Linked DNA regions of Macaca mulatta. The protein of the gene in region 3 interacts with the protein of the main gene of each other region in a biochemical or structural test. Links are inferred from orthologs where the notes say so. Each region holds a gene or a part of one and is shown on either strand. Other genes may lie near its edges.

Evidence for each region.
Region 1: the proteins of UBE2I (region 3) and ZNF451 form a complex in vitro, tested with the Homo sapiens proteins (2 studies listed by BioGRID and IntAct, with this or other methods). The link is inferred for Macaca mulatta from reciprocal best matches to the Homo sapiens genes UBE2I and ZNF451.
Region 2: of the proteins of UBE2I (region 3) and NFKBIA, one has a biochemical effect on the other in vitro, tested with the Homo sapiens proteins (2 studies listed by BioGRID). The link is inferred for Macaca mulatta from reciprocal best matches to the Homo sapiens genes UBE2I and NFKBIA.
Region 4: of the proteins of UBE2I (region 3) and ELK1, one has a biochemical effect on the other in vitro, tested with the Homo sapiens proteins (3 studies listed by BioGRID and IntAct, with this or other methods). The link is inferred for Macaca mulatta from reciprocal best matches to the Homo sapiens genes UBE2I and ELK1.
Region 5: of the proteins of UBE2I (region 3) and DAXX, one has a biochemical effect on the other in vitro, tested with the Homo sapiens proteins (5 studies listed by BioGRID and IntAct, with this or other methods). The link is inferred for Macaca mulatta from reciprocal best matches to the Homo sapiens genes UBE2I and DAXX.
Region 6: of the proteins of UBE2I (region 3) and PPARG, one has a biochemical effect on the other in vitro, tested with the Homo sapiens proteins (2 studies listed by BioGRID). The link is inferred for Macaca mulatta from reciprocal best matches to the Homo sapiens genes UBE2I and PPARG.
Region 7: the proteins of UBE2I (region 3) and TOP2B form a complex in vitro, tested with the Homo sapiens proteins (2 studies listed by BioGRID, with this or other methods). The link is inferred for Macaca mulatta from reciprocal best matches to the Homo sapiens genes UBE2I and TOP2B.

The regions. Positions count from the first base shown.
Region 1 is NC_133409.1:125,191,066-125,194,311, forward strand, and holds the start of ZNF451 (E3 SUMO-protein ligase ZNF451), read right to left. Parts: upstream 1,747-3,246; 5' UTR 1,001-1,746; coding exon 965-1,000; intron 1-964. UniProt on the Homo sapiens protein: E3 SUMO-protein ligase; has a preference for SUMO2 and SUMO3 and facilitates UBE2I/UBC9-mediated sumoylation of target proteins. Plays a role in protein SUMO2 modification in response to stress caused by DNA damage and by proteasome inhibitors (in vitro).
Region 2 is NC_133412.1:108,520,589-108,524,865, forward strand, and holds the start of NFKBIA (NF-kappa-B inhibitor alpha), read right to left. Parts: upstream 2,801-4,277; 5' UTR 2,711-2,800; coding exon 2,484-2,710; intron 1,874-2,483; coding exon 1,765-1,873; intron 1,438-1,764; coding exon 1,227-1,437; intron 937-1,226; coding exon 848-936; intron 741-847; coding exon 471-740; intron 101-470; coding exon 53-100; 3' UTR 1-52. UniProt on the Homo sapiens protein: Inhibits the activity of dimeric NF-kappa-B/REL complexes by trapping REL (RELA/p65 and NFKB1/p50) dimers in the cytoplasm by masking their nuclear localization signals.
Region 3 is NC_133425.1:2,512,388-2,516,687, forward strand, and holds the start of UBE2I (SUMO-conjugating enzyme UBC9), read left to right. Parts: upstream 1-1,500; 5' UTR 1,501-1,670; intron 1,671-3,035; 5' UTR 3,036-3,046; coding exon 3,047-3,112; intron 3,113-3,304; coding exon 3,305-3,388; intron 3,389-4,300. UniProt on the Homo sapiens protein: Accepts the ubiquitin-like proteins SUMO1, SUMO2, SUMO3, SUMO4 and SUMO1P1/SUMO5 from the UBLE1A-UBLE1B E1 complex and catalyzes their covalent attachment to other proteins with the help of an E3 ligase such as RANBP2, CBX4 and ZNF451.
Region 4 is NC_133426.1:47,662,166-47,666,320, forward strand, and holds the start of ELK1 (ETS domain-containing protein Elk-1), read right to left. Parts: upstream 2,801-4,155; coding exon 2,591-2,800; intron 693-2,590; coding exon 249-692; intron 1-248. UniProt on the Homo sapiens protein: Transcription factor that binds to purine-rich DNA sequences. Forms a ternary complex with SRF and the ETS and SRF motifs of the serum response element (SRE) on the promoter region of immediate early genes such as FOS and IER2.
Region 5 is NC_133409.1:148,970,417-148,972,498, reverse strand, and holds the end of DAXX (death domain-associated protein 6), read right to left. Parts: coding exon 1,938-2,082; intron 1,784-1,937; coding exon 1,318-1,783; intron 1,158-1,317; coding exon 935-1,157; intron 743-934; coding exon 683-742; 3' UTR 501-682; downstream 1-500. UniProt on the Homo sapiens protein: Transcription corepressor known to repress transcriptional potential of several sumoylated transcription factors. Down-regulates basal and activated transcription.
Region 6 is NC_133407.1:151,232,491-151,235,990, reverse strand, and holds part of PPARG (peroxisome proliferator-activated receptor gamma), read right to left. Parts: intron 1,207-3,500; coding exon 756-1,206; intron 1-755. UniProt on the Homo sapiens protein: Nuclear receptor that binds peroxisome proliferators such as hypolipidemic drugs and fatty acids.
Region 7 is NC_133407.1:22,873,951-22,877,450, reverse strand, and holds part of TOP2B (DNA topoisomerase 2-beta), read right to left. Parts: intron 2,790-3,500; coding exon 2,664-2,789; intron 1,091-2,663; coding exon 996-1,090; intron 1-995. UniProt on the Homo sapiens protein: Key decatenating enzyme that alters DNA topology by binding to two double-stranded DNA molecules, generating a double-stranded break in one of the strands, passing the intact strand through the broken strand, and religating the broken strand.

The DNA.
Region 1 (3,246 bases), on a different chromosome or scaffold from region 3:
TGCTGAATATAGTTATGATGGGGGAGGAGGAAGGAGCTTCCAATAAACTATTAAAAATCGTGGCACCAGAGAAAATGTCAATTACCACTGTGCAACAACTATGGCAAGAAGCCACATACACCATAAAACAGTGCCATATTCAATTAGTAGTATATCCAAAATGCCTCGACCAAGCAGATGAAAAAACACAGAAGTTACAGAATTAAGTCTGTCAATTAAAAGAAAAACAACTGGTTTTGGCTGCCAAGCAAATAATACTAGGTGATGTATTCAGACCCCTCAAACTTGACATATTCTCCATTCCTGATGTCATGCTGTGAAGACATGGATCTAAGGGCTGATATACCACACATCCACTACCTTGAGTCTAAAGAGAAGATACTGTGGGACATATAACTGAGGTATCTGCTGCCAGTTCCAGTACGGTGAAAAACTATTACTGGGATCAACTGGGAGCAAAAAGATAAGCTGTCTCTTACACTAAGAATCTGACTAAATTAAGTAACCAAGTAACCAAGAATGTATCACTGAAGTCTTGATTTCAGCCTTTCAAATCCTTAATGGATATCATGTTCTCTTCACTAAATCCACAGCTATGCTTTAAATCTTAAGGATTCCCAATAAAATCTAGACTGATGGTATCCCTCTTTATTACAGTAAGGGGAGAAGATTGTCAGGCATGTTTGGAATTCTTGCTCTTAGGAGTTCAGATTTTCATGCCTGGATCGTGTAACATCCTTTATTTCCAGGGCACTGATGTGCGTATCTTTTTTGTATTTAGAGTGTGATGCACTATCAAGCTCAAAAGAATTAAATGTTTAGAAGGTAGGTTGTTTAAGAAGGCCATCTTGGTGAAAGGCCCAGCTTACAGTGAGAGACTACCATGACTCAGTCTTACAACTTGATATGAGAGCTTGATAGGTCAAAGACTATTAGGACTGATGACAACAAAGAACTCTCTCACATGTAGCTTTATGAGTAGTGATGGTATGGTGGCCATCAAAGTCTTGATGAAGATAGTTACTGTGCAATTTCTACAGAGATGTTATAGGTAGAAGTCTTTTTCCAGTTGGTGTCCATAGAAGACCTGTGACATCTAGCCATTCCAAGGGGAAGCAAACTGGATTTGGCAAAATTTGACTTGAATTCCAGTTGACACAAAGCTTCATGGCTGATTCTGAAGTCTCACAGAGCTTGACAGTAGTATGAACTCTTGGTGAGTTGACCATCTTGACATAAAGACATTTTAACAGATGTGTCATTTTGTGAAGATCTGTCAAACTGAAGCCTGAACAAGGAAGCACTGATAACCTAAAAATGAAGGATTTACCTCTGGTCTTAGTAAACAGAGATCTAGTATTAGGTTATTTCTAGATTCAAAATATCTGCTAGTCCTCAGTTTACAGATAAGATTTTCCTGAGGAACAAATCTTTATATTTTTCTTTAATCACAAGAGGATTCAGATTCCTGAGTGGCCCTCCTCCAAACTTATTTTTGGACCAGAAATAAAGGATAAACATTTGTCCAACCCTTTCAAGAAAGTCTCCACTGCTCACTTGGTCAGTAAGTCATGAGTTTATTTTATACCTCATTTCAAAAGTCTACAATTCAAATGTCAGCTGTGATCATTCCAGACATGCATTCAGTTTTTGAGATGATCTCCTACCTGTAGATCCTATTTGTACGAGGAGGAACAAGTAAAATAGGATCTTGAATGACTATTCTGCTGAACATAAAACAGGTTATTAATTCTTGTACCCATGGCGTTCTGGAGAGTCTCCCTTCTTTCTATATCTATAGGGGTGGTTTCGAGGTTTGTACCAATCCCCTTTGGAGTATCCTCTATTGTGATAATGTGCTTTCTGATCATGACTATAAAAGTATCGATGCTGATTATAGTATTTGTGATCTTTATAGTCATTTTCTTTTATACTGTTCTCTTCTGCAACAACAGCTTTTACATCTTGTCCAAAAAGGGAAGTACCATCAAAGGGCAAGTGGGAGATCTTCTCCTGGGTTTTCTTAGTAAGAGATGTAAGTCGAAGCCAGGCCTGCCTTCTATAGTCTATGGCCATGGCCATAACTCTGACTACAGAATCCATTATGTCCCTAGTAGTACAAAGTTGCCAAAGGCCTGCATCCATACCATCAGATATTATACATCTTGCTTTTCCACGATCAAACTCTGGGTCATGAACCAGATCTTCCATGTCTTCCCAGAGTTTACGCTGATATTGAGTCATATAAGCCATGTAGCTAGCAGCTCGGGCTGCAATGGAGGCAGCATGGTAAAACCTACAACCCATGACCTCCATTTCTTTTGAGGTAGAATCTAGAGGGGATGTTGTATTTCCTCTTTTGCTGTGTTCTAATGCTTCTACAATGGGGCCTTCAGCTGGTGGGTTTGGTTGGAAAGGAGAGGTGTCCTTGGCCACAGGATATACCCTGTGTCCCATGAAGGAAGAAGGATGGCAATCAGCAGGGTCTTTAAAAACCTCAGTGGTGGCAATTCTCAGAAGAGGATGCAATGGAGGAACCAAACGTTTTTTAGAAGTCACACAATCAGGTTTCCCTTCACATGACTCTGCTTCAGATTGTAATGTCACCCTTTTTATAACACCTCTTTGTTCCATTCTCTTCAAAAGACCTGTGAAACTAGATTGGCTGGGGTCAGATGGCTGCCCTTTGTCATCAGCTGATGGTGATTTGTAATCAGTTTCTTCTTCAACTGTGGATAAATTTTCCTCCTTAGAGGTGGAGATGTCCCAAGGAACTGAGGAGTTCTCACTTGGCCTAGAATGATGAAATCTAAAACAGCTCCTGGACTGCAGATCACGTATCACTCGGGACATTTCAGCTACTTGTGTCTGGAGATAGAGGATGGCATCCCGTCCATGCTGTGAAGCTGAAGAAGAATCTATACATAAATTCTCTTTGACCTCAGAAGAGGCCAAAGATTCTTGGGGGACCAGAAGTGGAGATGAAGGCAGAGTCTGAAAATTCTGTGACGATTTAAGGGTCTCTGTCTCAGAGATCTTAGTATCTGAATTATTTTGATCATTTTTCTGGTTCTCCAATGGGTTCTCAACAGAGGAAGTTTGAGAAACTATCCTTTCTGGACTGCTGGAACAACTCCCAGAGAAGGAGCTGCTATCTCCAATGGGAAGAGGAACACTGCAGCTAGAGCACATTTCTGGGCGATGATTCTCAGAGGATGGCACCTTAGATTCAGGCATTCTCTGGGT
Region 2 (4,277 bases), on a different chromosome or scaffold from region 3:
AACTTTTTTTTGTACAAATATACAAGTCCATGTTCTTTCAGCCCCTTTGCGCTCATAATGTCAGACGCTGGCCTCCAAACACACAGTCGTCATAGGGCAGCTGAAAACAAGGGGAAAGAAGACACATTAAACTTCCGAAGCTCTGCCAAGCCACTGGGATGGGGAGGCCGCTACTGGAAATAACCCTTGGACTCCATTCTCCATAGCCCAAATACAATGAACTTTACAGGCTGAGGGAGTTTGCCTTTAACTCCCATTTTAAAAATGTTTTAAAAAATGCTTTTCTTTAAAAAAGGGTAAGCTATTTTAAAAAAAAAAAAAGGTACATTATTGGGATACTGGTTATGCACAGAAATTTGAGAGACTCATTATGTAGATACCCCTCTGATAAGGAGCAGTTCTAGGGGCCCGGGAGGGTGAAGGGAATGGTCCCTCATTAGTTAGAGAGCCCAAGGAGTTCACAGACTCACCTCATCCTCCGTGAACTCCGTGAACTCTGACTCTGTGTCATAGCTCTCCTCATCCTCACTCTCCGGCAGCATCTGAAGGTTTTCCAGTGTCAGCTGGCCCAGCTGCTGCTGTATCCGGGTGCTTGGGCGGCCCCAGGTGAGCTGGTAGGGAGAATAGCCCTGGTAGGTAACTCTGTTGACATCAGCCCCACACTTCAACAGGAGCGACACCAGGTCAGGATTCTGCAGGTCCACTGCGAGGTGAAGGGCAGTCCGGCCGTTACAGGGCTCCTGAAACCAAAAGGAATTTGAGATGCTTATGGCTGCGTTTGGAATTTCTGCTCACAACATGAGCACGGGGAACTTGACTCAGTGCATCGGAGGCAGGAAGCACTAACCTGAGCATTGACATCAGCACCCAAGGACACCAAAAGCTCCACAATGCCCAGGTAGCCATGGATAGAGGCTAAGTGCAGACACGTGTGGCCTGGAAGAACAAAACGAAAAAAGTATAACCACCTGTTTCAACCCTCACTCCTTTCACCTATTCTTTTATGGGACAAATAGTCATATCTTCTGAATTTTAAGAACCCACCGTCTGGGTTCTGAAGGAACTTTATAAAGGCATCCAACAGGCACTTTGCACACGTATTTTCTCAACCTTTCAAATGCTGGCAGTTTAAGTTCTTGCCTCGACTCCTTAAGTTGGCCCACCTGCCCCTTCTCCACATCACCTGCCACCTGAGGGGGTGGGGCAGGGCAGGGAGGCAGACATACCATTGTAGTTAGTAGCCTTCAGGATGGAGTGGAGGTGCGGGGTGGTGCAGGACTGAGTCAGGACTCCCACGCTGGCCAAGCAGCCCTGCTCACAGGCAAGGTGTAGGGGGGTATTTCCTCGAAAGTCTCGGAGCTCAGGATCACAGCCAGCTCCCAGAAGTGCCTCAGCAATTTCTGGCTGGTTGGTGATCACAGCCAAGTGGAGTGGAGTCTACGAATGCAGGAGAGACCAGAGAAAGTAAGCCAGGGACCAAACCCACACCCTGAGTTCCCCTGAACCCGTGTCTCCTGGTTGGGTGCTGCTCCTCCTGGACAGGCGGGTGGGGAGGACTGGCAAATAGCAGAGACTCCAGGTGGGTCACAAAGACCTCACCAAATCAGTGGAATTTCCTTCACTCTCTAGGATGTGGGCTGACGTGAAGTAAAAGGTGAGGGTGAATAATGCCCAGTGGCCCTGAATTCAGAAAGGATCTGGGGTGACTTTGCTACATCAGTTCCATCCCAGAGTTAGAGAGCCCGGGCCAGGCAAGCGGCGCACCTGCTGCAGGTTGTTCTGGAAGTTGAGGAAGGCCAGGTCTCCCTTCACCTGGCGGATCACTTCCATGGTCAGTGCCTTTTCTTCATGGATGATGGCCAAGTGCAGAAACCTGTGGGGAAGAGAGGGAAAAACCCCAGGGGTGGTGAGTGCACCGCGTGGGGCCCAGGGAGGCGCGGGCTGCGGGGGATTGCGCAAGGCCGGGGTTTCTGGAGGCCGAGGCCGCGGTGTTTTCCGCGAGGTTATTATGAGCTGAGTGTTCCTGGCAGGCGCCCAGGGACTTTCCGCCCCCCTCCCCCCGCGGCCCCGGCGGGCGCCGGCCAGACCGCCCCGCCCTCCCGCCAGCTCGGAACGCCCTGTACTTCCCCTCCCGGCTGCTCGGCGCCCGCCAGCGGCCAGAAACGCCTTATGCAACCGGGGACTTCGCGTCCCAGCTGCCGCCCCGCCCCCGGCCTAGAGGACAGGCCTGGGGGGAGGGGGCGTGTGGCGACGCTGCCGTCCACCAGGGCCCAGCCGCCGCCCCTCCGAGTCGGGCCGGTGCCCCGCGCGGCCCTGCAGCCCTGCAGCGTTCGGGGCGGTGCAGGAGCCCCGGGGCGCCGCGGCGCCAGCCCGGCTGCATCGCTAGTTCCCCAGGTCGGGCTCCAGGCCCGGCGTCTCCCACTCCCCGGCCGCGCGCATCCGGCCCTCCCGAGGACCCCCGGCTCCGGGTCTGCGCCACTTACGAGTCCCCGTCCTCGGTGAGCTGCTGCTTCCAGGGCTCCGCGCCGCGCGGCACCTCCTGCGGCTCGAGGCGGATCTCCTGCAGCTCCTTGACCATCTGCTCGTACTCCTCATCCTTCATGGAGTCCAGGCCGCTGTCGTGGCGGTCGTCCAGCAGTCGTTCCTTCTTCAGCCCGTCGCGGGGACCCTCCATGGCCCACTCCTGGGGGCGCTCGGCCGCCTGGAACATGGCGCGGGCGAGCTGCGGGCGCTGCTGCGGGTGCGCTGGGCCGCGGGCTGCGCGCTGCTTCCTCGCTAGGGCGCTGGCGGGCGGGACGGCGGCACGGGCTGGTGTGGGCTCTGCAGCGCCGCCGCGGCGCCCTATAAACGCTGGCTGGGGATTTCTCTGGGGCGGGGTCAGGCGCGGGGAATTTCCAAGCCAGTCAGACCAGAAAAGAGAACTGGCTTCGTCCTTTGCTAGGGGGAAAAAGAAGCCTAAACCCTGAGCTGGGGTTCGTCGGAGAAACTCCCTGCGATGAGCCACTGGGGTCACGGACAGGGAACTTTTTGATGAGTGCCAAGTGGCTGGAAAGTCCTTCCGACCAGGCCCCCTTCCCCGCGGTACTTCCCTGCAGCCTGCACCCTGTAATCCTGTCTCTCTGCAAGTGAACCTTCTTTCCCTGGGGTTTCCCACGATCGATTTGAATTGGGGTCGTCGGCTGCTGAGATCCCAAGGACGCCGACATGATGGGCGGTCCCTCTTTGGGGTTTGCCAACCTGCCGGTCCTTTCCGTTTTTTGATCTTTTGAAAACGCAAGAGTGGAAATGATGGCTGGGCGTAGGGATTTTCTTTCCCCAGACTTCTAAGGGGAAGGACGCACTGTGGTTATGGGGCTGCAGGCCGCTCTTGTGTTTCTGCTAATATCAGGCTCATTGCAGAACGGGGACGTTTAGCTTCGCGCCCTTCCTCCCCTACCCCCCACGCACCTCTGCCAGGTAGAACTGTGAAAGCTTTGGAGGAGTGGAAAGCCTAAATCTTTGGAAAACTCTCAAATCACTTCCAATCACTTCCTAGGGATGAACAGCCTTGTTGAGTGGGGGAGGGGCAAACTCTCCCTGTATGGGGAAACTGCTGAATAGGACCATGATTTTTTTTTTTCCCCCCAAGTAAAGCAAGGTGTTAATCTTTGTAGTGGTGGTTGTGGATACCTTGCAATAACAGAGTAGCTATTGTGTTCATAAGTAGCTGTTGCATTCATGCTATCTGACCTACATTGTGCTGCCGCAGAGAATGGATCCTGAGCCTACTTCTGGGCATCTAAACTGAGCAATTCGAGGAGCACTTAGAGAAGGAGGCTGAAGAATGAGTTTAGTTAGTGCCTTAACCGCGATTGGACCTTAAGGACCGCTAAGAAAGTAGTTGCCAGTCATCCTGCAGGAGGCTCAAGGCAGCCCCATCCTCCCATCCTGCCCCCCCCCCGCCTTGCTCCCTCGTCCTGGGGGATAGTAGCAGTTGGACCCATTCATGCCACCCAGGTAGAAAGGGGTTTTGGCTCACTATGCTCTGGTTTCACCTGCAGAAATGTAATTTATGCTCTCCATCCCACCTCCACCTCCAAGCCTGCAAGCCATGGACTGAATTCATCTACTTGGTAGAATTGGTACAGGCAAAATAAAGCACACTTCGGTCAGAGCTCTTCAGAATTAGTCCCAGGAGCCCTCTGTAGTTCTGCAGAGATTTCTGGTGATGATTGCAATCATCTTTACCTTGACTGGCCATGTACTAACCAATCCTTCCCCTCTCTTCAAATCTCCAC
Region 3 (4,300 bases):
GAGATGAGTGCGGTGGAGTTGTGAGAGGTGAGTGCTTTGCTCACCCTCAGCCAGGAAGTTGCTCGGAAGTCGGTGCTGTCAACCAGCAGAGCAAGGTGGTGATCCGAGAAGCTAAAGCTCAGCCGGTCGCGGGTGCCCAGCAGGACAGAAGGCAGACCTTCAGGCCACTCCTGGAGTGCTTGGCCCTGTCCTGGTTGCTGCAGTGTCTGGGCCTTGCTTGGCTCTGATAGATGAGGGTTGTTTTTGTCTTTGCCTCATATAAGTTCCCTGCTCTGAAGGGTCTAGTAACTGCTAGCCATTCACTTAGTGCTTATCTGTTAATTTGGAAGGGCAAATTCGATTTTCAGCGGGATTTTGAATGCTTCGTCTGTGTTGTGATTACATTGTAACACATTGGCCACTTTCTCCAGGAGGCCAGTAGGAGGGGGAGCAGGGGGAGGGGCCTGGCTTCTGCCTAGGACAGGGTGGGTGTGCACCTGTGGCTCCTTGCCCTGTGGTGCAGTTTCCTGTGAGACCACCCTGTGGTGCTGAGTGCTTTGGGGCAGGGGATACAGCAGCATCAGCCAGACCTTGGCGGGAGGTCTCACAGGAGCACCCTCACGACTTCTCACATCTGAGACAGCAATAGCTAGGTGCTGGGACGGGGGCCTCTAGGTGGCTCTGTCCGGTCTTCAGTAGGAGGGCTACCTGTGGCAGGGTTCCAGGCCTGGCTGGCCTCTCTGGGGCTGGCCTCTCTGGGGCCTGGCCTTGCCTGGCTGTGAGGATCGTGTTGGCCTTGGTCCTTCAGTGTCTGGAGCACTGGCCTGGGGCTTCAGAGACCTGCTTGATTCCTGGCCCCGCTCAGACCCCGGGCACCTGGGAGGTCGTGGCTCCTCAAAACGGCCGTTCACCAGGCTGCTTTGCACCGCACCAGGCACAGGCTGTGGCTACTCATGAAGCCCACCCTGGGGCTGGGGAAGCGAGAGCTGTGAGTCCTCAAGCCACAACTGAGCTGCTCCATGTGGAAGTGGAGGGTGGAGACACGTGCAGAGAGAGCCTTGAAACCGTGGTTGGCGGGAGCTCCACTCCACTCTGGGCTCGAACCCTGCCTGCCCACAGCTGAGCCCAGCTGTGTCCCCCACTTTCTCCCTTTCTGGCCCCTGGCTTCCCCCCACCCCCACTTAGAGAAGGGCATGGGGATGGGCAAGTGGTCCAGAGGGCAGGCGGCCTGCGGGCTCCTCCGCATCCCTGTGAGGAGGGCATGGGGAGGGACATCCCGGTGGGGCCCAGTCTGGGGCTACCTGTCTTGGACTTAATCGTGTAGCTGGAGGCCAGTGCCCGGATGGCCCCTGTCACCCTCTCGCTGTGATGCCAGCACCTACTGACTGGAGGACCCGGGTTCCTTTGCCTGATTTTTCTCAGGCTGCCCTGAGGATCCGTGTTTGGTTAAAAAGGAGCCAAATCCACCTGCAGGGCAGGCGGCTCTAGCAGCCCCGCCTGGCTTCCAGCACCCTGGTTCCCTGGCGACACTGGACCCGCCTGGGCTTCCTTGATCCCAGCCCCACCCCTGATTTCTGCTTTGCTGCCTCGGGAAGCCATCGTGCCGCCCAAAACCCGAATGTGGGCCTCTCGGAGCTCCTTCCTCAATGAGTCTGCTGGGGACTGGGCCTTGCCTCCCTAACAAGTGCCAGGTGAGGCTGCGGCGGCTCTGGCCCAGGTGGAGCTGCTGACCTGGCCCCTTCCTGCAGCTGTGAGGTGTGTGAGGTTCGTGGGCCTGCACAGGTGCGGGCGCCATCCAGGTCACCAGGGCCCTTGTAGGGACGGCCCCCCACGGTTTGGAAGGCCTGGCGCAACCCCCAGCTTTGTCGAGGTGGCCCTTGCTTGGCGCTGAGATGCCAGACTTGGAGGCAGCTTCAGTGTTCCCGTGGACTTTGAAAACCAGCACACACTTGGGCTTGAATTCTCTGGCAGGTTTTGTGCCCTGAGTGCTGTTTTTCATGGTAAAGGTGACCACCAGTAGGGTGACAGGTGAGGCTGGTGTCGAGGCTGCTGGCCCTGTTTGCCTGGTGTCCCCGGGGACAGTGCGGGCCGACAGGCTCCCGCTGGGAACCAGAAGGCAAAGGTGCCAAGCCCCTGAGGTCCCGTGGAGAAGTGTGGAGCTGGAATCTGGCGTGTGTGCCGCTGCCTCTGACCAGGGACCTGGTCCCGTACCCCATGCTCCTGCCCTGCCCCACAGGACCCGTCTGTCCCCTGAAGCCACAGGGACATGCTAGCGGCTGCAGGGTCCGGGAACGGTGGCCCTGTGGGGGGCTCCTCTTTCAGCGAGGCTGAGCCTCTGCCCTGTGGTACTTGTTCCACTCTGTCTTCAACACGGTGAAACCCCATCTCTATTAAAAATACAAAAATTAGCCGGGCATGGTGGCGGGGGCCTGTAGTCCCAGCTACCCGGGAGGCTGAGGCAGGAGAATTGCTTGAACTCAAGAAACGGAGGTTGCAATGAGCCGAGATAGTGCCACTGCACTCCAGCCTGAGGGACAGAGTGAGACTCCATCTCAAAAAAAAAAAAAAAAACAATATTAGGTGTCCCCCTGGCCCGGCTTGAGTCTCAGTTCTGAGCGCCTGATAGTAAGGCGGGGACCCAGATAGTAAGGCTGGGACCCAGCCCTGCCTAGTCCCCACCTGACGGTTCAGTGAGGACCCTGCCACGCCAGCCACCACAGGGTGGCAGCTACCGCCCAGCCACAGCAGCCCAGCCTCTGAACATCCGTCTCCACCGTGGAGCAGAGGCCGCGGCACGTGTCGCAGACCAGGGCTCGGGGGGCCCATGGGGAAGGGGTCCTACCTGTCCCCCCACCCCCGGTGATCTGGGATCCACTCATGAGGCCTCCCCTGGTAGACCCCGGGGTCGGACGACGGCTTCCAGGAGGAGAGTCTCTGCTGGGCTGGGCTGGCGCCTGTTAGGAGCAAGACTGCCCACTGCGGGCCGTGTGCACGTGGCGGGGCCGCAGGAGCCCGCTAGCCTGTCCTGACCCCGTGCTCTGCCTCCTGTGTTCCAGGGACTCTGAACATGTCGGGGATCGCCCTCAGCAGACTCGCCCAGGAGAGGAAAGCATGGAGGAAAGACCACCCGTTTGTAAGGAGGGCTTCGTTTCCGTGTGCAGTGCCGCGGACGGCCCCCCTGGGCTGAAACCGTGCCCCCCACCACTGGGAGGGAGCTGGCCGCGTGCCTGGGTCGCGCTGGTGGGGCTCGCGGGCCGGTTCTCGGTGGTTTTGGTCAAACGAGATGCCACCGCACTGATGTGCTTTTGTGGTTGTTTTCTCTCAGGGTTTCGTGGCTGTCCCAACAAAAAATCCCGATGGCACGATGAACCTCATGAACTGGGAGTGCGCCATTCCAGGAAAGAAAGGGGTAAGAGGCGCGCGCTGCTAGCCTCCTGCCTGTCGGGGCTCAACAGATGCGTGTGGCAACGCCACGGGGAAACTGCTCAGCCCCTGCCGTCTGTGACGGCCGCCCTTGTCACGGGCTGCGGACAACAGGTCAGATCCCCAGCTGTGGCCTGGCCCCCGCCCCGTGCGGACTTGAGCTCAGAAGGTGGTGCTGGCAAGGTTGGGGTGACAGCTGTGTCCCCACCGAGGGCATTTCTGGTTGAGAAGGAAGCAGGCTGGGCACAGGGCTGAGCTGTGGCAGAGGGGAGGGGCTCTGGTGTGTGTTGGGAGCAGGCCTGAGGGCGGGCAGCCTTTGCAGGCTGGAACCCGGGATTCTGCTGTGTCCTTCCAGGTGTGGCTCAGGTCACGGTAGCTGGGTTTGCTGGAGAGCCACCCTGGCGTAAAGCCGCCTCCTGGAGAACCTCCTGGGGCACAGGGACTGGCGACAGCAGCCTAGGATGCCTGCTTGGGGCCCCCTGTGTGTCTGTGGGGAGCAGGGCGGCCTGTGTGCCTGTCGTCTTTGCCCGGCTCCCGTGAAGCACTTGGCCGGGGACTCCAGGCTGGTGTGCACATAAGGTTCATGCTGGTGAACCCTGAAGGAAGGAGAGAGCCCTGAGGTGCTGGTCCTGCCCGAGGCCTTGTTCCCTCCGGCCCATGCCACCCTCTGGGTTTCACTCTGAAACTCAAAGCAGCTTCGGTCCCCCTGAGCTGAGCAGTCCCAGCAGGTCTCAGCTTTGCCTGAGACATGGTGTCACTTGGGTTTGTCGCTTGTCTGAGGCTCTGCTGAGAACGTCCCTTGCTCTTCACGTCACGGCGACGCAGGTGTGCGGCCCCGAGGAAGACGGGAGTGGTGTCGGATTGTGGGGTGGCAAAGGCGCCTCATCCAGGCAGGATC
Region 4 (4,155 bases), on a different chromosome or scaffold from region 3:
ATTTCAGGCACCTACATGTTCGGCAGCTACTAACTGTAGCACAGTATTCTCCCCTTTCTGTCTCAGGGTTTGTGTAGCTCTCTGTCCCATCCCTCCTTCTAAGAGGATGTCTGTGTTCTTCCTTCCACCATTATCTCCTTTAACAGGAGCACTATGTCTCTTCTACCAGCCTCCCTCATCATCCGGGGATTACACATCCGTCCTCTTTACTGCCTCCTCTTACTGGATTTCTATATTCCAGTCCTTACCTGCAGAGGCAAGCCGGCTTCCTCAGCCTCCAGGCAGGCCTCCAAGGGGCTTGGACTGGTGCTCCTGCTCCCCGAGGGGGGCGCTGCTGCTCCTGCAGGAGCTGCATTGGGGAGCACCACAGCAGGCCGAGGATGAGGGGGTGGCTGTGGCTGCAGAGACTGGATGGTGAAGGTGGAATAGAGGCCCGAACGCATGTACTCGTTCCGGCTGCTGCGTGCCAAACCACCCGGGCCTGCCATTCCTGCACCCTTGGGTGTGCCTGGCTTTCCAGAGGCAGTGTCCCCTGGGGTGGCATGTACAGCAGCAGGGGCCACATTTGGCATGGCGGAGGTAACAGACACCTCTGGCTGGGGCGGGCAGTCCTCAGTGGAGCACCCTGCGACCTCAGGATAGGACACAAACTTGTAGACGAACTTCTGGCCGCTCACCTTGCGGATGATGTTCTAGAAAGGGAGGAGAGGAACAGAGGGCCTGAGAGGAAAGGGGCAGGCTGGAGGCAGGGTGTGTGTATGTTGGGGTGGAGTGGTGTTTCTCTTCTCCTAGTGGCTCTCTTCCCACTTGCCCCTCTCTGGCTTTCCTGTCCCTCCTCTGTAAGTTCCCCTCTCAGCCTATCAGCCCATTTCCTCTCCCGTTGGTTTCTACCTCTTTCCTCTCCCCCTAGATTCCCCTTATCTATACCCCTCCCTAGTTCCTCCCCTTTCTCTCTTCTCTCCACAACAATTCTTTCTTTAAGCCCCTTCCCATCCACCCCTTTCCAAGCCTCCCTCTGTCACTCTCCAGGTCTATCTATCTGATTTTCCCACCCCCTCCACACTGTGGCTCCTCTTCACAATGGGGCCCGTGAAGGGAAGGTAGTAGGTGTGGGAGCAAGTCTTCTTGGCTCCAAGAACCAGGGGTTCACAGGCCAGGCCTTGTGGGTGACTGTCAGGACACAGTTTTGGAGACTAGCAAATGCAGTAAGACAAGAAAATGAAGTAACTGATATAAATGTTGGAAGAAAGTAAATTAATATAGATGGATGGGGCGATGAATTATTAATACAGAGGATTATTTGAAGCTAATGACACAGAAGTGGAATAGGGCAAGGTCACTGCAGAGGAGAGGGCGAGGAGGCCTCATTATTAATACCACTGTGGAGGTTGAAGCTAAAGCGGTAAGAAAATGAAGTAACTAACAGCAATTAGACAAGAATATTAAAAATACTGGTATAAATATTGGGAGAGGGCCTATATCAAGGCTGGCTTGGGTGGGTCACAGAGCATGTTTGGGGTTTTTCAGGTCTGGTGGGTCTCAGAGATGACCTAGCGTTCCCAGAGGGCACAGTGAGGGAGCCTCATTACTAATATTGTTCTGGAGGGTTGAGCTCAAGGAATAAAATATGAAAGTGGAATAAATGCCATAAACTATGAAGGGTATGCAGCATAGGTCCAGGGCTGTTCTTGGGGGCACGGGCAAGAGGAGTGTGGGAGCACTAGGGCATTCTGCGGAAGTCTTAGTGCTGGTCAGATATGTCACAGGGTGGGCCCGTGTTTCTCAAAAGAGGAACGAAAAGGGATATTCATGAATATTGTTTGGAAGTTTCAGCAGGAGGAATAAGAAGATGAAATAACTTGTATAAATATTGGGGGGAGGGGAAACCCAGCAGTGGCCTGGGGGTCTGAGAGGGCAGAATGGGGGAAATTTTAAATTTTAGCTGTAGGAATAAGATAATGAAAACAATTGATATAAATATTGGGGTAGACCAGTGCTGCTCTGGGAATTTAAGAAGATAGGGTGTGGAAGCTGGTACTAAACATGTTGTTACAGAGGTTTTAGCTTAAGGAATAAGAAAATAATTGGTTAAAAATGTTGGGGTCCCAGAGGACAAAGTAAGCAAAAGTTGGTATAATACTGTCAGGGAGGTTTTGATTCTAGGAATATGAAATATTCTGGAATAAGAGAAGATTATGAAATAACTAGGGAAGCCCAGCACTGGTCTAGGGCTTCCAGAGGACAGAATGAGGACCAGCCATTATTAACCATGTTTTCAAAATGTTGGCTATAGGAATATGACACGAAAATGAAATGCGCATGGCAGGGCAGCATCACTGTGGGGATCTCAGAGTGGGAGTAGGAGTCAGTATTAATAATGCAATGATGGTTTTTGCCAAAGCAGTAAGACAAGAAAGTAGGTGAGATAGTGCTTAGGGGCCCAATACTGGCCTGACAGTACCAATGGATGGGTTAAAAACTGATAAATTTTAACATTGTTTTCAAAGTCATAGCTATGGCAATCAAAACAAAATAAAATCTCTGACATAAATGTTAGGGGGGGTCCCAGCCCTGGTCTGAGAGACTGTACCTTGTCATAGTAGTACCGCAAGGCCCGGCTGAGCTTGTCGTAATTCATGTTGGTCTTGTTCTTGCGTAGCCCCCACAGCCGGGCCACCTCCTCTGCATCCACCAGCTTGAATTCACCACCATCCCGTGAAGTCCAGGAGATGATGTGGCCATTGCCTTGCTCTCTCAGCAGCTGCAGCAGAAACTGCCACAGCGTCACAGATGGGTCCATCGCTGGGGGAGTGCTCACGCCATCCCAGGGGTACCTGGAGGGCAAACAGCTGAGTTGAGAGGCTGTGGACATAGGAGGGGCAGAGGTCAGGGGGAGGAGGATTCCTTTTTTTGTCATCTTTTCTCCATCTCTGTCCTCAAACCCTACCATCATTCCCTAAACATTCCCAGACTAACTTCTAGCTCCCCAATCCAGCTTGGGATGCTCCCTGTGATGGGATACAACTCATGAGTATCTTAGGATGGTGTGAATGTATTTTGCCTGTGGGACAAATGTGAATCTGTGGCGGTCAGAGGGCAGACTGTGGTAGGCCAGATGATGCCACCCCTGTTCCACATCCTAATCCTTGGAACCTGTATGTTATTTATACTACGTAGCAGAAAAGAACTTTGCAGATGAAATTAAGGTTACAAACCTTAAGACAGGGAGATTATTTCTGGATTATTTGATTAAATTCAATCTAATCATATGAGCTCTGAAAAGCAGATGATGAAGAAAGAAAGGTAGCTCAGAGATGTGATGACAGAAGAGGCAGGGGAGATTCAAAATGTGAGAGGGACTCAACCTGCCATTGTTGGCTTTGAAGATGGAGGAAGGGGGCTCAGAGCCAAGGACTGTGGGTAGCCTCTTAAAGCTGGGAATGGCCATCAGCTGATAGACAGTAAAGAAACAGGGAATTCAGTCCTACGACCTCAAGGAATTGGATTCTGCCAACAACTTGAATGAGCAGGAAATGGATTTTCCCCTAGAGCCTCCAGAAGGAACACAACCCTGCCAATACCTTGATTTCAGCCCACTGAGACCAGTATGGGACTTCTGACCTATAACAATTTTTTTTTTTTTCTGTGGACTCTCAAAATTCTCCTCAGGTCAACAGGTATAACAGCTATAAATATAACTCATTATTTAAAAAAAAAATTTTTTTTTTTGAGACGGAGTCTCGCTCTGTCACCCAGGCTGGAGTGCAGTGGCGCCATTTTGGCTCACTGCAAGCTCCACCTCCCGGGTTCACGCCATTCTCCTGCCTCAGCCTCCCGAGTAGCTGGGACTACAGGTGCCCGTCACCACGCCTGGCTAGTTTTTTTTGTATTTTTAATAGAGACGGGGTTTCACTGTGTTAGGCAGGATGGTCTCGAACTCCCGATCTTGTGATCCACCTGCCTTGGCCTCCCAAAGTGCTGGGATTACAGGCGTGAGCCATTGCACCCAGCCACAAATATGTTATTTTAAGCAGCTAAATTTGTGATAATTTATTACAGCAAGAATAGAAAATTAGTTCCATCCCCCTTATTTGAGTGTTATCTGTATCTTCTACATACCATATAAATTCTACCATATAAATGTTAAGTTTTTCA
Region 5 (2,082 bases), on a different chromosome or scaffold from region 3:
TCGCCCTTTTCCTAGCTCCTTACAGCCCCCTGAAGCCCCGCCCCCTTTCTCCGGGCCTGGATTGGCCAAATAACCTTGAGTCGGCCCCTCATTGGCTTTTTCACTCCTACTGCACGAAGTGAAAAAGTAAAGTGCGTTAAGGCGGCTGAAGCACTTAAAAAAAAAAAAAAAGTACAGCCTGAACAACATGGCGAAACCCTGTCTCTACAAAAAATACAAACAACAAAAACAAAAAATTAGCCAGGTATGGTGGCACGCGCCTGTAGTCCCGGCTACTCGGGAGACTGGGGCATTATCACTTGAGACTGGGAGGTCCAGGCTGCAGTGAGCTGTGATCGCACCACTGCACTCTGGCCTGGGCGACACAGCGAGACAACAACAACAAAAGACCAGGCTAGAAAGGACAGATCGGGACTACCCCGGGGATATTGGGCTAACCCTGAGCAAGGGGACAGCTAATGCCAATCTGTAACAGTAGAAGGACAAGAAAAAGACAGTGATACAGTAAGAAAAGAACTTTATTATTAATGTTTCTGTGTAAAACTTAAGCTTTTTTTTTTTTTTTAAAGAAACACCACCAAAAGGGGATTAGCTTAGTCCATCCCTTCCTCAGTCATCTGCTTCCCACATTCCTCCACATGCTATCCCAAAACATTCTGGAGGCAGGGAGAAGGGGAGGCAGCTAATCAGAGTCTGAGAGCACGATGATCTCTTCTGGATCGCATTGTGTGGCCACACTTGTCTGCAGGGAAGTCAGAGACAAAGAGTCAGAGATCTAGAGTACAGGAGAAAAGAAACAGACAGGAGGATTTACAGGATAAAACGGGTGGGAAAAAGAGACAGGATGTGGCAGGTGCAATATTCAGACAGAGCAGCTGAAACAGACAATGAAAGAGAACAAATTATCAGAGGAAACACGGCCTCCCCTTCTTACCTTGTAAGTACTGGGCCGAGGAGGTTGTGATTGGGGGGTTTGGGACAGCTGGGCTGGAGAAGGGATGCAGAGGGAGCTGGTCACCAGGCCATGGCTGGGAGAGTCCACCCTCGTGGAGGAATCAGCAACCGGAGCCAAGGAAGCCAAGGGGGAAGGTGGGCTGGGCAGGGTACATATCTTTTTCCCATTCTTCTCATGCACTGACCTTTGCCTTTCCACATAGCTAGAAACCGAAACATAAATATGCGGAGGGGTAAGGGAAGACTGAGGCTGGAGGAGGGCAGTCCAGTCTCTCCCAGCAGACTCAGTTCCCCAATATTCCTCTCCGAAAGTCCCCTGCAATCCCTCCTTGGCTTCCCTCTTCCTCCTCCTGTTGTTATTACCTGTTTCCTAATGGCCCTGATCCTGTTTGCTTCTTCTCCTTCCGAGATTTTTTGCAGGGGGGACCAGAATCTCCCCAGTTGTGAGGAGAGACGCCTCCATTGAAGGAAGTAGAAGAGACCATGCCTGCCCCATTCTCTAAGACAGTGGTGAAGGGCTCCTCTGATTGCTTCCTGGAAGAGGAAATGTCCATCTCCACAGAGGAAGGGGTATCCAGGGGCAAAGCTTCAATCTCTAGCTCAAAGAGCTGAGACACAGGGCTTTCTTCCTCCAGGGTCAGCTCCTCAGGCTGTTCTCCATTGCTTTCAGCATCTATGCTGGAGGGGGCCAGGGGTTCTTCTGACAGTAACAAGGGTGACACTTTGTTTTGCTGCTCCCCTGAAGACCTGCTGATCTGTTTGCCAGGTTCCAGGTTCTTTTCAGTGGAGATCTGTGGTGAGGACATGGGGCTCCCGTCTCCATCTTTACCTGGAAAAGAAGAAAAGGGGAGAGGGTAGCCCGAGAATGAGGGGAAAAAATACTGCTGAGAGGACACTAGGAGGAGGAAGGGAAAGGTCTCAAACAGGTGGCTTATGCCTAACAAAAACAAATGACAGGTGAGGAGAATGTTCCCTTGACATACCTGCTGCTTCTTCCTCTTCCTCCTCCTCTTCATCGTCCTCCTGACCCTCCTGCATCTGTTCCAGATCCTCCTCCTCTTCAGAATCTGTGGCCTCCTCCTCTTCTTCTTCTTCCTCCTCCTCCTCCTCATCCTCCTCCTCTTCCTC
Region 6 (3,500 bases), on a different chromosome or scaffold from region 3:
AGGCCCTGTCTCACAAAAAAAAAAAAAAAAAAAAAAAAAGGAAAGGAAAAAAAAGCCACACTCAGTAAAAAATCTGGCTTTTGGAACTGGTTAGTCAGATCATGTACTTGCAGGGCCAAAAATACAACAAATTGCTAAATAACTAAATTTATTTCTATGTTGTGTGTTCGGTTCAGATTGCATTCTTAATCACAACCAACTACCTCACAAAGGTATTTTGAAGGGAAGCCATCAGAGGAATCCACACAAGAGAGTGGGTGGAGGTCAGTAGGTATGCCTTAATTCCTGATATCACGAAAGCAATTCAAAGTAGTATCTTACTGTTGGAAGGGCAGGAGCATGATTTGACCAGAAACACTTAGTAGTTCCTTCTCTACGTCAAGTAAGCATTGTCTTAAGCAAAGTTATACATGCCATTACTTACAGGAACCAAAGATTAGATTGGCCTCTAATCTTCCTTTCTGGAAAGGAAAGAAAGAGAGAAAGAAAAGAAAAAGAAGAGGGCATTTGATTGGAAAAACTATATTGTTGAGGGAAGAAAGAGAAGATCCTGGGTTACTCATAACTTTCATACTGCAAACTTATGATACTCTTTCTTGGTACAGTGTTTTGCACGTGTAGAGGTGATTCATGGCATTATGCCATTGGCACTTAAAGCGACAAAGAACGCAGACTAATAAGGAAATCCAAAATTCTTTTGGCCATCCCACCATCATCCCACCCTCTTTCATAGAGGATCAAAAGACAAATCTTACCTCCACTGAGAATAATGACAGCAATAAATATTGCCAAGTCGCTGTCATCTAATTCCAGTGCATTGAACTTCACAGCAAACTCAAACTTGGGCTCCATAAAGTCACCAAAAGGCTTTCGCAGGCTTTTTAGAAATTCCCTTGTCATGAAGCCTTGGCCCTCGGATATGAGAACCCCATCTTTATTCATCAAGGAGGCCAGCATTGTATAAATGATCTCATGGACTCCATATTTGAGGAGAGTTACTTGGTCGTTCAAGTCAAGATTTACGAAACCAGGAATGCTTTTGGCATACTCTGTGATCTCCTGCACAGCCTCCACGGAGCGAAACTGGCAGCCCTGAAAGATGCGGATGGCCACCTCTTTGCTCTGCTCCTGCAGCGGGGTGATGTGTTTGAACTTGATTTTATCTTCTCCCATCATTAAGGAATTCATGTCATAGATAACGAATGGCTGCAAATAAAACAGGGAAAACATGGGTGACTTGGAGATTTCTAACTTAGTGAATGCCATCCCAGTTCAGAAAACTGTTTCTTTATGTAAACTTGCTTTGCTAACTAAAATCTTTAAAGCTGAAGATGCTTAATAATGAGAAAATACTCTCAAGTTCTTTTATTCATCTTAATTATCTTCTGGGACCAAACAAATTTCACCAATTTTGGTCTTCTTTCCCTTTAATTTACACTGTAACACTTTACCTATGACTGGCTAAGAATCCCAATTTCTTTTGTTTGGGGAGTCTTCACTGTTGATTTTTATATTTATTTATTTATTTTGTTTGTTTTTGAGACAGAGTCTTGCTCTGCTGCCCAGCCTGAATTACAGTGGCACAATCAGGGTTCACTGCAACCTCCACCTCCCAGGTTTAAACAATTCTCATGCCTCAGCCTCCTGGGTAGCTGGGATTACAGGCACACACTGTCACGCTCGGCTGGTTTTTGTATTTTTAGTAGAGACAGGTTTTCACCATGTTGGCCAGGCTGGTCTTGAACTCCTGGCCTCAAGTGATCTGCCCGCCTTGGCCTCCCAAAGTGCTGGGATTCCAGGCGTGAGTCACCATGCCCAGCCAATTGTTGATTTTTAAAATGATACAAAATCTACTGTTTATCTTGGCTTTCAATGAAATACACTTTTAACCTTCTTTCAATAAAAAATCATTTCAGCAACTCAGGGTTGAAAATACCCACTTGAACATAAAGCAACTTTAGAGGCTTAAAACAATTTTTTTTTCTTAAACTTTTTTTTTCCTTTTCCTTTGTTCTCCTTCACGAGTAATAACTTTTCAGTTTTAGATGAAATCCTCTCAGATCGCAAATGAAACTATGTGCACATAAAATATGCTTAACTATTAAAAAATCACTCTGAAAGCAGATTAGAGCTATTGAACCAAGAAAATGTCTATTTCTTTTTTTAATGCTCTGGAAGCCATCTATTTCACAAAGAGCAGATATAGAAGGCCTATAGGTGAATGCTGCAAAAAACAGTTTTGAATTTACATTTTAAAATATCTGTCCTTACAGGTCAATCAATAAAATACATGCCCCAGTTATTTAAGTTTGCAATAGGCTGCTTTCAAAAGTTAAGTCATTTGGTCATGACATTATCTCTCTCTCACTTCCCTTGTATAGAACTAACCAAAGTCTGTAGTCATTGAGAAATTCTCAAGGCTGCTCTAAGGGGCAACATTTTACTTACACCGGATACACTGAAAGACACATAAGGAGTTAAACCTTGAATCCTGTTCAAATACTTGTATACCTGAAAGCACTGGAAGAAGAGCTGAGGGTATCTGCATTCTAGCTTTGGTTCTGTGGTGAACTATGCGACTTAAGAAAAGTCATTTACCTTTCCTAGGCCTTAAATTTCTCAATCAGGGGTTTCCACCTCTTCTCCAGAGGAAATTCTAGTTGTATTTCTCAGAAGCAGGATGTGTGTGGGGAGTGGGCATGTGTGTGGAGAGCTGTGAGTGTGCATGCACAACAAACATGAAGTCTCTGATAGACTAAAAGTAAACACTGTTTTGAGCAGAGATGTTGAGAATTCTCTCCTGAATGGGCACAGAGAAGGTGCATGAGTGGCCGTGGCAGCTGGCTTCAAGATGCACCGGTTGGAGATTCTATTCATATCTATGGAACTCTATGATTTTCATCAAAAGATTAAGTTTGTTCTATACTGGAGGAAGTAACACCAACATTAAGGACTCTCAGATGTTAAATATATTTCCAAACTTGTACGTCACGTCAACACCCTTTACTGGAGTTATTCTGGAAGTTTTTACTTTTGTTACAAAAAAATTCACTTCAACTGTACTACTTACCAAACTCCAAAAGGGGACAGATGTGAGGACCCCAGAACAGGTTTACCTGGTGGCTCTAATTTTTCAAGGGACCAAACTGTCCGTACCGTATTTCTTAAACATTTCGCTTGGGTGGTTTTTTTCCTTTTTCTTTTCTTCTTTTCAGGATTAATATTATTAATGGGAGAAATAAAAGGGGGGCAGAGCAAGTAACATCAATGAAAATTTACTGTATTTTTCCAGAATGTCAGGTTCTAATTATGAGAAAAATTTGAATGGATAATGATGCTGTCACAGAACCTAGAAAAAACGTGTTTCTTTGTTCTACAGGCATTTTATAGTGTATTATAATATATATTAATGAAATACTGACTTTCTTTTTCTAAAAAAAAAAATTATTTCATTTTTTGAGATGAGGTCTTGCTATGTTGCCCGGGCTGGTCTTGAACTC
Region 7 (3,500 bases), on a different chromosome or scaffold from region 3:
TAGATTAGATTTAAAAGTTATTAAAAGAAATAAAGACTAGTATGAAGAACTATCACTCCTTAAACTTCACTTATGTTTAGGAAGTATTACAAATCATGGAACTTTTAAAATTAGAGTTGTAATGCTAACCTAAGTTTAAGACCAGTTACCTTATTTTTTGGAGGAAAAAGATTACATACAGTAATTCGCTACCTTGGTGGTTTCATATTTACCAAGTTCTAGCCTGAAAAATGTAACACTTATATTTCTAAAATTATATTTTACCCAAAAAGTATGCACAATGCCCAGATTAGTAAAAATTCAAGCTGTCCTATTGCTAAGTACGTATCAAGAATTCATGGGAGGAAACAAGACTCCCGCACCACGTGGAGTATGCACTGTTAAGTGTTTTAAAACATGCAAAGCATCACCGAGGTGGACCTGAGACACAGAAGATGACTGGATGGAAAAGGTCAGTGTGGAAATCAACATAAAGCTATGATCATCTACATTGGTATTTTTAAGTTTTACTAGGAAGAGAAAAAAAGGGATGGAGGTAGCTGATGTCATTCATTTACCAAAAAAAAAATAGTGTACTTCTGGAAAAGGGTCAGACTAATTGGGAAAATTAGCCACAGTCAAATAAATTCAATTAAAAAAAAAATCAAATTAGCCCTGGTCAAATAAATCCAAGTTAACAGGAAACAGTCTTTAGTCTGAAAAATAATATTTTAGTCTGAAAGAGTCTAATATTTAGGTAACATAACAGTACTATAGCTCAATGGATGAAATGGAAGATTCTAAGTAGGTTAATTTATAGCACACTGTTATTTAGAAACTAGTCCTGATTATATACATTTATACTTGAATAATTCCTTAACCATATACAAGCCCCATATTGATATGAGATGCTAGGTGGAAAGCTGTTCCAGGACTGTAGTAATAAGCAAACTAAGTCAGTTACAGATCTTTTTTTTAAAAGCCATGCACTAATGTGCAATGATGTTCCCAGTTACCTTGCTTGCTGTTTTGGATGTTTTCCTGCCAGGGTTATAGTCGCCTTCATTTTCAGAGCCAGATGCTTTCCTTTTCTTTGCCCCTCGGCCTTTACCTTAAAATGATACAAAAGGTTTTTTCTTCCATGGGTAAGTGCAATATAAAAAGATAAATGCCACAACATTGTAGTTTATTTCTTTGGCATGCCCAATCAGTGGAACACTGCAGTCCTAATCTCTTACTATGAGTGATTATAAACAACTTGGCAGTAGCATTTCAATTCTGGGATTGACATGACCAAAGACTTTTTCACAAATATATTTAAATTAATGGGAAAGTCCCAAAGACAAATTTTAATGATGAATCCCTTCATACATAAAACATCTGTATTTGCTATGTGGTCCTTGAGCCTGAAAAGGAAATACCTTGGAAAAGTATTTTTTAAATTACATGTGATTTAAATTTTTTTTTTTAATTTCTAATTTGTCATGGGCCAATACTTTTAAAAATACAATAGAACACAAATTACTAAAAAATGTAATCACATGCTGTTTTATTAACACAAAATTATCATCAAGGTCTAAATGTTTACTCAGTTTTACTTATCAAAGACTAGTAACAACCAATTGCATATCCCACGTTGAGTGGCACCATCTGAGAACCACCAGTATTGACTATAAAATGTCAAATACATATTCCTTCTCAGACCTAGACTTGGCACATGCAGCATTTTTTTCATCTACCTAACCTCTTATTCTCATCATTGGAGGTGAAAGGAGAAAAGGTAATATTTAAGTAGGGGCCAGATGTTCTCCATCCCACAATGATGCCAATGAAATAAAATAGAACTAAATAGCAATTAATTTTAAATCTTTAAAAATTCCTTGACAGCTAGATTGGACAAGTACAAAGATAGCCTTACATAATCTTGGCATGTCATATTTGATCAAATTAATCAGGGAAATAGCATTTTTGAATTGATAAAGGCTTTCAATCCTGCATATCATGAGTACTACCTTCCCAGTCCCTATGATTCTTTTCCACCCTATTATCCCCATTTCCCTTTGGTCCACAGCTCCTTATCCCAACCACTCCTTTAAGAAATAGAAGAGCCACACCGAGGAAGATATCCTTCAGTTGAATAAAAGATGGAGCAGCTACCCTCAGAGCATATCATGTCTTACAAACATATTTTATAAAGCATCTTTAAGGGCTTTCCAGATTCTGGAGACAAAGAAGGGATGCCACGGAGAACTGGAGCTGGTTCCTTGTGTGGTCCTGAGTACAGTTATTTCTTAGGTGAGAAAAAAAGTTCTAGCCTAAGAGTCCTGGATCTAGCCCATTACAATAAGTGTCACAGTTTAGTTAGTGTGGAGTGCTAATCTGACTTTTTAATAACAACTTTCAGTGAGTTGGCTGCAGGGGAGAATTTGGACCATTCTTAGGGATTCTTATTTAACCTCTTTGAGCCTCAGTTTTTTTAATTTGTAAAACAAAGTGACTGAACTAAATTGCTATACCTCCTTTGGACTATATTCAGCACTGATTCCTAGACACACCCCTTACTGAGGAGTAAAGCAATTTAAAACAAAATAGATACCTAGCCTCTCTAAATTCAATGAGGTAGAAAAAATTCCATCTTTTCCATACAGTATATGTTTAAAGGGTTATAAGAAGATAATCCTCACCTTTTGGTGTTGTAGTCTTCTTTGGAACGCCAAATTCTGAATCTGAGTCAGAGTTTACAGCCTCTACTACTTTCTTCTGTTTGGGGGCTCTCTTGGGCTTAGGGGCTGTATCTGAAGACGGTTTTCCTAGTAAGCAAATTTCCATTTCACAGGTCAATATACTTACCAACAAATCAAACTGAAGAGAGTCCTATATAAATGGAATTTCTCATAGCTGATTAGAAACTGAGTTGCCTGGCTGGGCGCGGTGGCTCACACCTGTAATCCCAGCACTTTGGGACACCAAGTTGGGTGGATCACCTGAGATCAGCAGTTCAAGACCAGCCTGGCCAACATGGTGAAACCCCATCTCTACTAAAAATGCAAAAATTAGCTGGGCATGGTGGTGGGTGCCTGTAATCCCAGCTACTTGGGAGGCTGAGGCAAGAGAATCGCTTGAACCCAGAAGGTCACAGTGAGCTGAGATCACGCCACTGTACTCCAGGCTGGGCAACAAGAGCAAAACTCCATCTCAAAAAAAAAAAATTGAGTCGCCTTAATGAAATGGTTTCTCTCTGCTTGGCGGCAATGTAAAGGCAAACAATTTCTCATAGATGACAAAATGCTTTTTATTTAATTATGTATAATTTGCCCTTAGGTAATACAATTAAGACATTTTAAGGAAGAGCCATTAAAAATAAATTAAGCAGTAACTTTTAAATATAGTCATGACAAAAGAGTAGCATATTTGATAAATTAATTATAACCCAAGTATAACCACAGATCAAGTCCTTTTAGAATGTTTTAGAGAAAAAAAAAATGTATGGGATCCTCAAATACAATGAATAGAAACCAACT